4 linked regions of the Macaca mulatta genome follow. The protein of the gene in region 4 interacts with the protein of the main gene of each other region in a biochemical or structural test. Links are inferred from orthologs where the notes say so. Each region holds a gene or a part of one and is shown on either strand. Other genes may lie near its edges.

Evidence for each region.
Region 1: the proteins of UBE2E3 (region 4) and RNF14 form a complex in vitro, tested with the Homo sapiens proteins (2 studies listed by BioGRID). The link is inferred for Macaca mulatta from reciprocal best matches to the Homo sapiens genes UBE2E3 and RNF14.
Region 2: the proteins of UBE2E3 (region 4) and RNF25 form a complex in vitro, tested with the Homo sapiens proteins (2 studies listed by BioGRID, with this or other methods). The link is inferred for Macaca mulatta from reciprocal best matches to the Homo sapiens genes UBE2E3 and RNF25.
Region 3: of the proteins of UBE2E3 (region 4) and UBA1, one has a biochemical effect on the other in vitro, tested with the Homo sapiens proteins (3 studies listed by BioGRID, with this or other methods). The link is inferred for Macaca mulatta from reciprocal best matches to the Homo sapiens genes UBE2E3 and UBA1.

What each region holds. Positions count from the first base shown.
Region 1 is NC_133411.1:150,838,671-150,842,233, reverse strand, and holds part of RNF14 (E3 ubiquitin-protein ligase RNF14), read right to left. Parts: intron 2,709-3,563; coding exon 2,536-2,708; exon of another isoform or gene 2,510-2,535; intron 942-2,509; exon of another isoform or gene 907-941; coding exon 776-906; intron 1-775. UniProt on the Homo sapiens protein: E3 ubiquitin-protein ligase that plays a key role in the RNF14-RNF25 translation quality control pathway, a pathway that takes place when a ribosome has stalled during translation, and which promotes ubiquitination and degradation of translation factors on stalled ribosomes.
Region 2 is NC_133417.1:123,910,918-123,915,085, forward strand, and holds the start of RNF25 (E3 ubiquitin-protein ligase RNF25), read right to left. Parts: upstream 2,849-4,168; 5' UTR 2,817-2,848; coding exon 2,776-2,816; intron 1-2,775. Other genes in the region: STK36 (serine/threonine-protein kinase 36), read left to right, coding at 3,677-3,760. UniProt on the Homo sapiens protein: E3 ubiquitin-protein ligase that plays a key role in the RNF14-RNF25 translation quality control pathway, a pathway that takes place when a ribosome has stalled during translation, and which promotes ubiquitination and degradation of translation factors on stalled ribosomes.
Region 3 is NC_133426.1:47,232,036-47,235,598, reverse strand, and holds part of UBA1 (ubiquitin-like modifier-activating enzyme 1), read right to left. Parts: intron 3,070-3,563; coding exon 2,963-3,069; coding exon of another isoform or gene 2,875-2,962; intron 2,708-2,874; coding exon of another isoform or gene 2,687-2,707; coding exon 2,596-2,686; intron 2,485-2,595; coding exon 2,352-2,484; intron 1,808-2,351; coding exon 1,710-1,807; intron 1,603-1,709; coding exon 1,456-1,602; intron 1,325-1,455; coding exon 1,148-1,324; intron 1,024-1,147; coding exon 919-1,023; intron 831-918; coding exon 750-830; intron 424-749; coding exon 268-423; intron 1-267. UniProt on the Homo sapiens protein: Catalyzes the first step in ubiquitin conjugation to mark cellular proteins for degradation through the ubiquitin-proteasome system.
Region 4 is NC_133417.1:85,866,734-85,870,802, reverse strand, and holds the start of UBE2E3 (ubiquitin-conjugating enzyme E2 E3), read right to left. Parts: upstream 2,586-4,069; intron 2,156-2,585; coding exon of another isoform or gene 2,113-2,155; intron 1,956-2,112; 5' UTR 1,931-1,955; coding exon 1,737-1,930; intron 1-1,736. Other genes in the region: uncharacterized protein LOC144333280, read left to right, coding at 2,113-2,155, 2,676-3,907. UniProt on the Homo sapiens protein: Accepts ubiquitin from the E1 complex and catalyzes its covalent attachment to other proteins. In vitro catalyzes 'Lys-11'- and 'Lys-48'-, as well as 'Lys-63'-linked polyubiquitination.

The sequences.
Region 1 (3,563 bases), on a different chromosome or scaffold from region 4:
AGCGGGTGCCTGTAGTCCCAGCTACTTGGGAGGCTAAGGCAGGAGAATGGCATGAACCTGGGTGGCGGAGCTTGCAGTGAGCCGAGATTGCACCACTGCACTCCAGCCTGGGCGACAGAGTGAAACTCCGTCTCAAAGAAAAAAAAAAAAAGTGAATGTTCACAAAACACACACACAAAAAAGGTGGGCCAAAGCTTTTCTGCATTAAGAAACTAAAGAGATAGAACCAAATACAGTGACTGAACTTGTTTAGATTCTGGTTCAATCAAATAGCTTTAAAATATATTTTCAGAAATAATTAGGAAGTTTCAAATGTTTGTTTACTAGATAACAGTATGCCACTATCATTAAATTTTTTAAAAGTACTGTCATGATGTAGAAGCATTTCCTTATCTTAGGAGAAACGTGGAAATATTTAGTTGAAGCATTATCATAACTCCAACTTCATGTAGTTCAGCAAAAATATTAAGGGAACAAATATGGCAAAGTATTATCAATTGTTAATTTGGGTGGAAGGTATTCTACTATTCATAGTCCTATCCTTTCAAATTTTCTGTATGTTTGAAAACTTTCACTATAAAAACTTCCAGATAGTGTATATTCTCATTATAAAGCTCATTTTTGAGAAAATAATATAAAAATTCCTTCATGGGGGAAAACATGTAAGAGAATTCTCTAAATAAGTCCAAGTACTTAAATAAAACACTGGATGTGTGGTCTGCAAATCAAGTACCAAAAATTGCTGGAGAGCCTAAGGAATTCTGTGTATACATACCGGTTAAAACATGGTGAAGCAGGGTCATTGAAATGTTTGTAAGGGTTTGCTCTAGAGAGAGAACCCATGCAAATCCAACAGAAATATTGCTTACAGCCAGTACATGTCATCTTGTTACATCCATCTAATTTCTGGTGGGAAGGATAGAAAGAGAAAAATATCAAGGCTGTAAGAGCAGAAGAGACATGCACATGCCAAAGTGATTCAGTACAACATTGTCCTGGTCTTCTCCTTTTTCTTATGCAGGGTTGAGATATCAATGTAACACACTGATGACTATGTAATTCTATTTTGCACTCTAAAATACAGAAAATAGCTAGTGTTACTACAACTAGTTACTTGGCACAATCTCTTCTGATAAGCAGTAGATAAAAATCACACACATATAACTGGAACATGTAGATTAATATTAAAATACTTGGATGTAACGTGTGGGTTTTTAATTTTTACATAAATCCAAGTAAATATTTGGTACCAAGTCCTCCACTCTGTCATAGGGCTAAGGTATGTCAAAAGTGATTAAATGGCCAGGTGTGGTGGCTCATGCCTGTAATCCCAGCACTTTGGGAGGCCAAGGTGGGTGGGTCATTTGAGGTCAGGAGTTGGAGACCAGCCTGGCCAACATGATAAAACCCCATCTCTACTAAAAATACAAACATTAGCCAGGTGTGGTGGCTGGCACCTGTAATCCCAGCTACTCGGGAGGCTGAGGCATGAAAATTCCTTGAACCTGGGAGGCGGAGATTGTAGTTAGCCTATATTGCACTACCACACTCCAGCCTGGGCAACAGAGAGAGACTCAGTATCAAAAAAACAAAAAAGTGATTATATATAGTGCCAGTTTCCTTACCTGGAGTATCACTACTATGTTCAGTTCAGACATAATAGATTAGAACAATAGAATCAAATGCAAAGATGTATTTTGATTTTAAAACATATTAAGAATGGCCGGGCGCGGTGGCTCAAGCCTGTAATCCCAGCACTTTGGGAGGCCGAGACGGGCGGATCACAAGGTCAGGAGATCGAGACCAGCCTGGCTAATACGGTGAAACCCCGTCTCTACTAAAAAATACAAAAAAAAAAAACTAGCCGGGTGAGGTGGCGGGCGCCTGTAGTCCCAGCTACTCGGGAGGCTGAGGCAGGAGAATGGCGTAGACCCGGGAGGCGGAGCTTGCAGTGAGCTGAGATGCGGCCACTGCACTCCAGCCTGGGCGACAGAGCGAGACTCCGTCTCAAAAAAAAAAAATAAATAAATAAAAAATAAAAATAAAAAAAAAAAATAAAAAATAAAAATAAAAAAAATAAAACATATTAAGATTTTTGTCAAGAAGCAATAGAGTTGTGTAATTATTTTGACTCAGATTAATTCCTGAGTGTATCTTAAACAGGTGTGCAGCATTCCAGGATAAATAGTTCTGAGAGGTCAGATTTGATTTTTTTTAATCACATAGATGAGGTAAGAAGTGACCATAGCTCTAGTATGCCCTCCTTACAACCCATTCAATTTTGAGATGGATACAATGTAAGAACAATGGTCACTGTAAGAAAGACACAAAGAAAAGACTTTGAAAAGGGAAGTCTACAAACATTTAAGGTCGATAACAAGATTTAGTAGTGAAATTTCCACCTTCCAAGTAAGGAAGGTGCAATAATACCAGCATGTGTTTTGTAAGTCATAAAATTGACTAATAAGGCTTCTTAAGGTAATCATAGCATGCTTGCAAGTCTGATGGCCTCCAAGTCTGTCCCAAATCATTTACCTCTATGGGAGTTCCACAACATGGGCAGCTCTTTGAGTTCTTCTCTAGCCACTCCTTACTTTCCATCTCTTCCAGTGCCTTCTGAATCACTCTCTTACCATACCTTTGATCCAAAAGTCTTTTATTAGCCTCATCTGCTTGCAGGTATTCATTTCGTAAGTCCATTAATTTCTCTAGAAAGTGAAATGGAAAATTAACTTTTATATAACTTTGTAATGCAAACTAAAAATCATTAAAAATGGCTATAATCTTTGACTATTCAATAATGTTATTCCTAGAACTTTATCATAAGGAAGTAATCCAAAGTCATATGCATGGAGATGCATATAACAGTGGCAAAAAAATTAAATTTCTAAGGAAATAATTATGTTTGAAAGAGCCATTTAATGTCGCAATATTCAATTATTAAAAACATAATTACATTCGCTACAACCCAATTAAAACACTCATCACAGAATCCAGAAAAAAAGTATATTTATGTTACAACCCAGTAAAAATTATACATGCACAAATGATAATGAATGGAAAGGAATCCCCCAACTAGAAAAGATGTATCTGCTAAAAGTGGTAGAATAAGATAGGTTATTTTTTTCCTTTGTTTTGATTTCTTAATGTTGGTATGTTTATGCAACTAGAAGTATGCAGTTAAAGACTGACTTATCTAGAAGATACAAAGGTTGAAACAGACATTGATTTTTCCACTAAGTTGGCACCATTCACCGTTTGATAATGAAGAGGCCTACCAAATACAAAGGCACCTTTGGCTTAAGAGCAAAGACTACCTCTTCAATTTTGTGTTAAAAAAAAAAAAAATCAGTGAATAAAACTTACCACTCAAGTCTCACCCTGTACTATGCTTTGCTATAGGTGCTGAAAAGTTTTCCCTTGATACTCTTCAGTCTGGCTTCTACTGCTCTATCATTTAACTGAAATGGAACAGGTAACTAATCCCAAAGGCTTTACTTGCAGACAAGAGGCTTTTGTTCACAATTCTATTACTTAATTTTTCAACACAATTAAAGAGTTTT
Region 2 (4,168 bases), about 38 Mb from region 4:
CAACTGGCCAAATAGGAGGCACAAAAATCAGAATTTTAAGCATTATTTCTGCCAAGAGATGAAGAAGTGGATTCCAGAAAAATAAAATGACTAACCAAGGCTTAACATAGGTAGAACTGGGCCCAGAGTCGGGTTCCTGACTCCCTGTTTAAGTTTCATTCCCCTTAGTGGCTGACTTTCTGGTCTAGAGGTACGGCACCCATTTACTAGCATTAACGTTACCAATATTACTCCAGCCTTTCCCTACATCAATGTCCAGTGTGGATCCCAGTGCCTTGGCTACTGTCTACATACACTTTTAACACCAGTCACCCTAAGCCTTCTTAAAGGAGATAGCAACCTCAACACAACAGGTCTAGGGTGGTGTAAAGGCTGTGTTGTAATGGAAAAGCCAGCAGCCTCGGAGTTAGTAACAGGTACCAATCACTTACAAGCTATGCGATCTGGGAAGTGACCTCTCTGTAAGCTTAAGTTATCCTGTCTATCACATATAGATGATAACACCTACTCTCTAGGGTTACTATGAGGATAAAAGGTGATTTGTTTATATAAAGTACCTAATAGTATCTGGGCTATAGTAGCTAGTCTACATCCTCTTTTTCTTCCTGTCTGTATATAACCTTCTCCCTTAGAAGGAAGAGGGAAGGAGGGAGGTAGTAGAGTACTCTGGATGTATTTATGACCCTGGCTGTCTGGTTGATCTAGATCAGCCTGTTGAGGTTAGCATCCATGTTCCGATGTAAATCAGAGGACACACATGCATAAGCATAGAAACAGTAGTTGTATTGAAATTGAAGCTGAGTGATCAGTTTGTGTCTACAGCTCTACCAGGTGATACATGGAAAAATGCATACTTTCCTTTCTCATACTGCTCTCTCTTCATTCTAAGAGTAAGGCTGCTCCAGCATGACTTATGTCAGTTGTTGTTAAGTCTTAGGCAGAAACTTCAAAATATAAAATACAAAGCTTTACACCTCACAGAAAATAGTGTAGTTTTGGCTGACATGGGATGGGAGTCTCACAGCACTACAGGCTGCTGCACTCACTGTTGTTCTCTCCATGGCTCAAGGTGTTTCCCCTGAATCTTAAAAGTTCCCCTGAACAGGTCAACTATAAGTTATCCCAGCACTTTGGGAGGCTGAGGTGGGAGGATCACTTGAGGCCAGGAGTTCGAGACCAGCCTGGGCAACAAAGCGAGACTATCTCTACAGAAAATAAAAAATTAGCTGGACACAGTGGTCCCAGCTACTTGGGAGGCTGAGGCAGAAGAATCGCTGGAGCCCAGAAGGTTGAGTCTGTAATGAGCCATGATCTTGCCACTGTACTCCAGCCTGGGTGACAAAGTAAGACTCCGTCTCTTAAAAAAAGAAAAGAAAAAGTTTCCCTGAACACTTTGAAAACCAGTAGTCTAGATAGTCTTAATAAAGGCCAGTACTAGCAGGGCTCCCTGAACCAATGTAACACTGAGGTGTAGCCTCAGTCAAGTGGCCCTTCAATACTTTGCCTACCCTAGTTATGTGGGTCCTGGATGGGATGCTGGTAAGGTGGTGACAACAAAATGGGGGAGAGGGGACTGAAGAATGTCCTAGTATAAAGAATCTAAGGTGTGGAGTCAGATAGATGTGGATTTCTAGTCGCAATTTTCCACCTTTTGGCAAATCACTTTACTTCTTTGGGGCTCATCTAATCTTCCCAGGTGCCTGCACCTCAGTTATTAATGAAAAGGAGGCCGGGTGTGGTGGCTCACGCCTGTAATTCCAGCACCTTGGGAGGCTGAGGTGGGAGGATCACTTGAACCCAGGGGTTCAAGACCAGCCTGGCCAACATGGCAAAACTCTGTCTCTACAAAAAATACAAAATTAGCTGGGCATGGTGGCACAGACCTGTAGCCTCAGCTACTTGGAAGGCTGAGGCAGGAGGATCACCTGAGCCTGGGGAGGTTGAGGCTGCAGTGAGCCATAATCGCACCACCGCACTCCAGCGTGGGTGACAGTGAGACTCTGTCTCAAAAAACAAAACAAAACAAAACAAAACAAAAAAACAGACTTAAGTATATTACAAATCCATCGTGATCCTCTCAACTATTCTGAGGTAAATACCACACCCACTTTGTTTTTACAGCTGAGGACACTGACTCACAGAAGCTAGATGGCCTGGTCAGCATCACACAGCTAATAAAATGCGGAGTTAACCCACATTGATCCTACTTCCAAATCCCAGAGTCCTTCCATGTTCTAGTCTTTAGTTAAGAATGCTTGAGAGAAGGACTAGAGGGACTTTATGTGAGGTGTAAAGCTTTATTCAGACAATAGTCCTCACTAGTGCTGTGTGGGAGAGAGAAGGTTGAGGAAAGCGTCGGCGGAAAAACGCTGATCCAAGGAGAAAGGGGTACCGAACTGGAGGGCACTAGTTCTGAGAGGCGAAAGGGAGATGGGGAGGTCTGACGGGCAGGCATCCCCCAAAGCCCCTGAGAAAATTCATTTGAGGAGCATAGAAAGGGATAGCGTGAAGCTGGAGGAAAGGGGATCGAACCGGATAAGGCGAGGCCTGAACTGGTCTGGCGGGCGCAGACCCGGTCTCTTCTCACTCAGATCAGCGCCCCTCCACCCTCCCGTTCCCCAGTCTAGAAGATCTCCCAGAGGAGATGTCAGCATCTCTGCCATCCCTCATCCTTCGCTCCACCCCACACGCCCGCCGTACGGACCGTCTGCGACAGCTGCTAGGCCTCTGGACTAGACCCAGACTGTCAGCCAAAGCCCATGCCCCCGAAGTTACCAGTCCTCCTCCCCTGTAGCTGCAGACGCAGACGCCGCCATGTCTTCACCGGCCCGCAGCCGGAACCGGAAATGCCCTTAGGGAAGTCGGAGGCGGAAAACTAAGAGGGGTGGGCAGCTAGCGTCGTTTCTAGGCAACCGCAGACTCCGGGTCCTTAGCCGGGCCTGATGGCCCAGAGGCAGTTCGGATGCGTCCCAGGAAGTGCCCATGTGTGGTCCGCCGTCCCTCCCACACCTCTGAGCGCCTTTGTCCTCTGAACTTCTCACCAGTTCTAGCGAGTGAAATTGTTAGAAAGGGAGCCAAAAGAGACTGGCGAGAGGGGCGGGTGGAGAAGAATTGTAAGTCAGGCAACGTATGCAGGCAGCCAGAAGATATGGGGCTAAAGGCCAGGGAATCCGTCCCTGGGCCCGAGGAGCTTGGATCTCCTAGGCTGGGGATGAGAGAGGGACCCTGGCTTGCGAAGCGCATGGGCCAGGGGGTCTGAGAGCAGGTGCTGAGGAATCTGGGAGTGGCAGGAACTTGGGGGAGACTCGAAGGAGCAGGGTTGGGTGGGCGATGCTAGGTTAAGAGAGCAGGGTCGAGTGGGCCAAGCTGGATGAGGGAGAAGGGGGACCAGGTGTCAGGTGGGCATGGGGCCGGGTTGGGGACAGGAGGCTGAAAGTGGAGAGGAACTACAAAGAGATGCTGTGTTTGTTCCAAGATCGCATCATCTTTGCATCATTCTACCCTCCCATGTTTTTTGAGGCTTGGTCTTTGTGAAAAAGAGAAAAGGCAAGATGGCTAACATTTTTCCTTTCCCATGCCCCAACTAGGCCTCCCAGATGTTGTGGAATTGTCCCTGGATCTATAGCTCTTCACCGTCTCTACCTTTTTCCTTCTAAGAGATTCTGAAACCTCTGTCATGGAAAAGTACCACGTGTTGGAGATGATTGGAGAAGGCTCTTTTGGGAGGGTGTACAAGGGTCGAAGAAAATACAGTGCTCAGGTATTGTACAAAGAGGGATACCTTTTGGGTGGGATTTGGTACCCCCAACTCCAGTGGAAAATGGGTCTAGAAGGGATGTATGTATACCAGTTTATATTCCTAAGGCATTGACTCTCTCATACTTCTTATGGAGTATAAGCTCTGAAGTTGTATTATTTGGGTATAAGTTCCATCTCCACCGCTTTCTAACCCTAGAATTATGGACAAATTACTTAACTTCTCTATGTCTCAATTTCCTCATCTCTAGAATGGGGATAAGAACAGCAACTGATTGATGGCATTTGAGATTAAGTATGTTGTCACATTAAATCAGTTAGTACAGTGCCTGGCTCTTAGTAAACAACAAATATTATTATTATTAGTCTCTAGCACACCATGTAGTAAGAGGTAAACCACTTGAACTCTATT
Region 3 (3,563 bases), on a different chromosome or scaffold from region 4:
AGCCTGACCAACATGGAGAGACCCTGTCTCTACTTAAAAACCAAAATTAGCCGGGCATGGCGGCGCATGCCTGTAATCCCAGCTACTCAGGAGGCTGAGGCAGGAGAATCGCTTGAACCCAGGAGGCAGAGGTTGCGGTGGGCCAGAGATCATGCCACTGCACTCCAGCCTGGGCAACAAGAGCAAAACTCTGTCTCAAGAAAAAAAAAAAAAAAAAGAAAAAGGAGGAAAGTGAGATGACAAAGCCCCACCTCCTACCCTACTCACCGTGACATCCCAGGGCCGGAAAAGAAACTGTCGATTCAGATTTGACTTCTCAATGGTGTCCATGTCTGTAACGATGATTTCTCCACCCTCCCTGCAGCCCAGCCCAATCATGGCAAAGTTCTTGAGCAGCTCACAGCCAATGGCCCCCGCACCCACCTAAGAGGCAACCAAGAAGACAGGCAGAGGCTGGTCAGGGTGATGCAGGTTAGTGTGAGGCTACCCATCACCCCTCACTCCCCTGAGAGATGGGGAGAGGGGCTAACACCACATCTTCAGGTTCCAGGACTCTAAGAAATGACATGCAGTCGTGTGAGGAAGGAGGAACCAGAGCGGGAAACGAGGGATGCACTGGGCTTCCCTTCAAGATAAGGAGAATGGCAAAGGGAATGCCCCACAGGTTGCGTTGAAATGCTGAAGGAAGCCCCAGGGCAGATGGTCAGAGGCCAAGATGAGGGGAGCAGGCATCCAAGGGGACCACTCACCAGGAAATACTTCTGCTTGCCCAGCTTCTCTTGCAGGTCTGAGCCAAACACAGCCACTTGCCCATCGTAACGGTTCTGGCGCTAAGGAATGCAAAGGGAGGAGGGTCAGAGAGAGGCCTCCCCAGAAATGCCCCCAATGATGCCCTCCCCACAGGTCCCACCCACATACTGGGAGGCACTTGTCCTCCGTGAGGGCCTCTTTGTCCTCAGGGAGACACTCAAGGGCATCAAAGTATAGCCACTGCATGATGGGCATGAACTTCCCGGAGCAGGCCTGGAGAGGGGAAGGGAGAGAGGGGGTGGTCAGTGGTTAACAGGGGCCTGACACAGAGAGCAAGTGATGGAGTCAGGGAGGCACCTGGCCCACCCCAATCCTGCCTCTCCCAACCCATGCTGACCTTCATGACTTCCTGGGCAGCCAGGCCCCCAATGAAGGCGTTTATGGGTGCCAGATCCCCAGCAGCCACATATGCCAACTTCCGGATGAGGTCCTCGTCCAGGTTCTCTTGCTGCACTGCTGGCAGGGCTCGAGCATTCACAGCCTGTGCTAAGGCCACCAGTTCTGTTGCATCCTCCTGGTAGGCCAGAAAGAACCAAAAGAGGATCTGTCAGGCCACAATGAGGGCAGGGAGTGTGGATAAGCAGAAGCATGGTGGGCCTTCAGTGCCAGGCATGTGTGCATTGGCTGGCTCGCCTACCCACCCACCTCATTGCGGGGCCGAGGTGGCCGGCCATGCTGAGCACAGAAGTGGTGCAGGGCCTGGAAGCCAATGTGCAGCTGGGCAGGGTGAGAAAACTTGGCGAAGTCCGTCATCACAAAGTCAGGTTCTGCCAGTGAGGCCACCAAGGATTTCTGTGGCGGGGGAAGGGGGAGGTCATCAGAACCAGAAGAGAGGAATGGAGAACTCGGGAATGCCTAGAACTACCCCACATAGCCACTGTTCCCACTGACACACTCACAAAGCTAATCTTCTTAGGTACTTTGACCTGACTGACGATGCCTCCACGGATATAGTCGGAGAAGTTGGAGGTGTCACAGATGCTAAAGGTATAAGGACCTATAGAGGGCAGGAAGAGAGCTATCAGTCTACCCATTCTCCCTAAAATCCACAACCCCTGCAAGATAAGGAACCTCCTGCCCCAACTCAGCTCAGACATCAGACGCCATCTCCCCTCTGCTCCAGGCTCCACATGGACATCAGAAAACATCTCTCCTGTGCCCCAGACCCAGCTCAGACCCTGTGAGACCCTATGTCCCTGGCTCCAAGTCTACATGGGAAGACCTTATGTGCTTCCCATCCAAATCAGCTCACACACAGTAGATCCTCTGACCTGCCCTGTTCAAACACCAGAGACCTTTTCCCCCTCAGCTCAGATACCAGGGACACATTCTCCCAGGAATAGCTCGAACACAGCACCTCTCCCTCATGCCCACCAGCTCTTATTGGACCCCACGGGATTCTGTCTGTAGTTCATCTTAAACAACAGGATGTGTCTCCCCAATCTGAACCAAGGGCCATGTCTCCTCCCTTCAACTCCCTAGCCAGAACCCAGGAACATATCTCCTAGCTTCCCTCTGCTTCCCCCATGGTCCCAACTCACCCAGGACTTTGATCTCCATGGGCTGATTTCCGTTGAGTTCAACCATGCCCTGTACTTCTGAAAAGGAGACAAAGTCCCCACTTTCAAACCCGTGTCGGGCCTCATCCAGGCAGGTAACCACACCAGGGTTGTCCTGGTTAAAGGAAGAGTGAGTCTCAGAAACAGGCCCAGGGTACCAAGAGCGGACAGGAAGGACTACCACAGCCCACCTGCCCGCCAGGAACCCTAGGGCTGGTCTCCTTACCTTGGTAACCATAGAAACCATAGCACTGAGCGGCTGCTCCCCATTGGAATCTGTGAGGATCATTTCCTTTCCAAAGTCACAGAAGAGCTGCCTGTAGAGGGAAGCAATAGGGCTGATGCCCGTGTCCCATGCACAAACAGGCCCCACAGGTCCCTCAAGATGTAGTGAAAACTTGCTGAGCAAACTCAGCCTATCACTGCTGGGATGTAAGATGGTACTTGTGCCACATGAGGAGAGATGAACACAAAGAACCCAAAATCTGGGTAGCTGAGGAGGGACGAGGGCAGGGAGAGCCTAGAGGTCTTGGCCTGGGCCTGGTAGGAGTTGGAGGAAAAGGGGACAGGGAGCGGGGTGGGCCGCCACTCACCCAAACAGGCCCCTTGTGTCTGCCACCACCAGCTTGATGCCACGGCTGTGACAGAACTCACCCACTCGCAGCTGGTCCTCCAGGGGGGTGTTGGTGAGCACCACCACCTGTGGAGAGATGGAGGCTCAGGCCCAGCATTGGGGTGAAGAGGAGAAAATGGTGGAGGGCTGATGTCAAGGACTCAGGCAGTCCTCAAGGCAGACACATCCAGGCTTTGCTGGGTCAGCCTCTTTCACAAACACACAGCACCTACTGTGCATCAGACTCTGTGGGGGTCAAAAATGAACTCCTAGACTATACCAGGAAAGGTGAAGAGGTAGCTGGGAGGACGGAGTTTGGAGAAGAGCTGACTCATTTATTTGACAAACACCCGCTGCTGTCTGCTTGCCATGCCCTGTGAGACACTGGAGTAAAACTCTGTCTCCAGCCAAAGTCTGAGCTCACTCCTACCACACCCACCTGCTTCCAATTCCCAAGACAATGCCTGCTCCGCATGATCTTTGGGATTTTGCTCTCTGCCTGAATGTCCATCCTTCCCCACCAGGGTGAGCTCCTATTCCTCCATCCGGATTTAGCTGCAGTGCCCTGGCAACCCAGGGCC
Region 4 (4,069 bases):
TACACTGCCCTCTACCATCATGCAGTTAAATGCAAGGCTGGCTCTGCCTTCAGTAATGCTAACATGGCTGCTTCCTCTTTGTTCTCAGAGGCATAACCCAAATCCCTTAACAGAAACTTTGCAGCTTTTTTTCTCACTTGCTGCTGCAAATAAGTAAGTCATTTACACTTGATTTGAAAAATACTCATCCACTAGTACTCAGTAAAGAATATAATATCTATTTCAAAACACTTTTTACCAAAGAAATTCTCTTTTCAAGCTTATATGCAAATGAGACAAAAAGGGAGGAGGGAAAGCACTGGAATATTTGACAAGGACTTCGAGTGACTTTTACTGAGGTAAAAATTAACAGGCTACTGCAACAGCACATTAACAGTTCTGACAATATTTTATCTGTCAAAAAAAAAGTTTAAAATTTACAAATATCTTTACTGGTGAAAAACTTTCGAAGACTACATGACATTCTAATTTACCCATTTCTGTTTTCCCTGATCATAGGCACAGCACTTAAATTTAGTAAATATTGACAGAAAGAGAAAATACATAGGCCTGAGTTAAGGGGGAGAAAAGCAGTTCTCTGATTTGATTCAAATTTAAGATGCTTTCAAAACTTTAGACGTGTCTAATATGTTCTGCATCAACACTATACCAAATTGAGAAGGATTTTATATTATGTCAAAGACTGCTGCCATTCAAAAATATTCTCAAGTTATTAATACATCATTACTGAGACAATAAAGGTGAAAATCCATAGAAAAATATGAGTATTTATGAATCACCACAGAATGCAGTATTTGTAGAAATATTTTTTCCTTTAGTTGTGATCAATAAAAATTAACAAAATGTCAACATTGGCTAACGCTGTAGAGATTATACATTTTATGTATAATTACTAGAGTTTGTGGATGTTCCACTACTACTACCACTGACAGAGTCTCATTGACAGAATCTTTTCTTCTCTATCAGAAAATATAAATCAATAGGAAACAAATGATCTTCCACTTACATCCAATTAAATATGTTTCTCCTGCTGTTGAGTATTAACTTGTCAAGCACATCCACAAGTTTCAGAGTGAAGAGGTCCAAGGACAATGAAAGTTTTCTATCACCAGTGACACCTCAAATTGTAAAGGGCTACTTTTCAGTTTGATTTGCCCTCACAAGCACAGGGAGGGATAATCATAATTTAACCACGAAAGTTACCTGTGATACATGATTTAAAGTCATGTTTTGTAAAACTGTAAGCAGATTTGCAGCACGATTTTAAATCTGCTTTCAAACATAGCAAAGGCCTGAATTTGCAATTTTCTAGCAAATATGATCATTTCTGATCATTAAGTTTCATGAAGAGAGGCCCTGCTAATCTCTGGAAGTGTCAATTTCATTAAAGAAGATTATGACTCATAAAAGGAAACATCCCCAAAGTACCATCTAATTTGGGTTCACCAAATTTTCCTTGCCAACTCCTTAAACAATCTGTCAGAATGTTAGTCTAATCTCTACTCAAGGATACTCAACTGAAGTTACCGAAGTACAGAATAAGTTTGCTTAAAAGCATAATTCTAGCAAGGTTGCATACATACCACCTAAAGAATGACAACTCATTCAAGTACAAATAAACTGATAATGAAGTAAATATTTCTGAACTATTGCTACTGATGTAAAACCAACAAAAGCGTCCAACCACCTGGAAGACAACCTGACAAAGTGTGCTGGATCCTTCTTTTACACATTACCTTTTAGCACTAGTGGATAACTTAGCAGTGGTTTTGCTAGAGAGTTTGGTGTTTTTCTTCTGCTGGGCGGCAGAAGGTTTTCTTTCCTCTTGTTCTTCAGGCTCTGGAGCGGCTGGGTCTCGCTGGTCCGCATCTGAACTGCCACTGCTGGTGCTGGGGCTCTCATCATCGGACCTTTGCCTATCACTGGACATCTTGGTGAAGTTATCTCTTGGAAAACTTTTAAAGAGAACAGGGGAGGATGGGGAGAAAATGTTAAATCTAGGAAATAAACCAACAGCATTTTCTTCTATTCATCTAATATCGTATTGTAATGAAAAAGCTTCAAAAGTGTTCACACTTATTTCATCATACAACAAGGGTTACAAGGGAGGTGATGTGTCACACAACGCCAGCGTTCAGGGATTTGCCGAACTCAAGTTAGAAAACCCACTCACATTTTTTTCCATCTCTTGGACAATCTATCAATTGTCTACTTTCTCAGAAGGCATGAAACAGATTTGCCAAGGAACTTAGGCAACAAGCATTAATAACATATGACATACTGTAAATAACAGATCTCGCTGAAAAAATGTTTAAAAGTCACTAATAACGTCTAAATATTTACACACTGACATTGGTCAAAGCTACCAAATTCCCTTTCCGAGAGGAAAACACACCCTGTTAATCGCCCATATGCTTATTTAAGGTGGCGATTCCTTCTCAGTGCACGTAAAGGCTTTAAACACAACACTTGGAAATTTAAAAATCAACTAACGAGCTCCTCTAGCTGTTTCCACCGCCAGCAGCGAAGATTCATCTGGCCAAGACCTAGCTGCCACCCTGGGAAAAGCAGAATTCAAACTGCACCTTCTGCAAAGCTCCCAATGCCACCAAGGTTCCTCGCTCAATTTTTACATCACGGACCGACATTTTGTCCAAAATAACGAAAAAAATAAGAAACCCAGAGGAAAAACAAACAAACAAACAAAGCCCCAAGAAGTGCAACAAATTTCCGCGCCCGCGGAGGCGAGCCGCGGCCGGCGGCGGCGGCCACGCAGCTCCGCGGCCCTTTGTGGGGAGGGCCGCGCGGGGGCCGCGGGCAGCGCTCGCCGCGCCGGGCGCCAAGTGATGCGAGCAGCCCGGCCGGCCCCGCCGCGGCTCGCGGACACCGGCGGCGCGGGCGCCCGGCGCGAACAAAGCTGCCCGCCCCCGCCCCCTCCCCCACCGCAGCCGCCGCCGCCCCGGCCGCCCCCCACGCGGCCCCCCGGCCCCTCCGCCTTACCTCGGCCGCCCGCCCGGCCCGCTCGCGCGCCGCTACGGTGTGGGGGAGGGAGAGAGAAAAAAACCCTTCCTTAAGGAAATGGAGGCAGCTGTGGGGGGGGGAAGGGGGGGGAGGGAAAAAAAGAAGCCGAGGAGGCTCTGGCCGGGGAGTGTGGAACATTGAAAGTCGGAGGGGGTTGTGCAGTGCCGGGCTCCGGCCGGAGGGTGGCGCCGCCCAGCGCCTTCGGAAAAAAGGGGGGGTGGGAGCTCGGCTGGGCGAGGGCGCGAGCTCCCGGCGAGGCGGAGGGGACGCGGGAGACCCCCGCGCGCTGTGGCCTCCCGCCGCCGCCGCCCGGCTCGGCTCCTCCCGGCCGCGCAGTCAGCAAGTTCCGAGGCGAACGCGGGGGGAGGGGCGGGCGCGGCGGCGGCGCGCGTGCTCGCTGCTTGCCTGGCGGAGGGGCGCGCGCCGCCGGCGCCCGGCGGGCGCGAGCTGTTCCCGCGCGCTCCCGCGCGCGCTCCCCGCACCTCCCCTCACCCGGGGGGTGCACGCGTCCGCCCGCGCGCGGCCAGGACAAAGAGCGCGGCGGGGACCTGGCGGGCTGGCCCCTGCCGCCCTTGGCCGCGGAGCCTGTGCCAGAGAAGGCGGGGGCGCGGGCACCGTATCGTGGGGCCGCTGTGCCGCGGGGTGGCTTCCGGCCTGGGCCCGCCTCCGGGCGGAGGCTGCCCATTGGGCTACCCGCGTCCCCAGGGCTAGTTCCATCCCGTTCGCCTGCGTGGGGGACGTCGTGGCTCCCGGGGCCCCAGTACCTGGGAAAGGGCCCTGGGCGCGTGGTTGGGAGTCCCCCGCCGCCCCGGGAGACGGGAGACTAATGGGTGTTGTTGGCGAGGCCAGGCACGCAGGCGGAGAAGAGCTGCCACTTGCCCCTCGTGTAAGCTGGAGGAAGGGACAAGGTGGGGTCCTGGGCATTGAAGAGAGTAGAATATATTTGTTGATTAGGGGACCAACCTCTATTTATTTTTGGCTCACAGCTTGCAACTGTCGCTGCCAAAAGAGACCGTCCTTCGGATGCTTTGAAACCTTAAAAATCCAA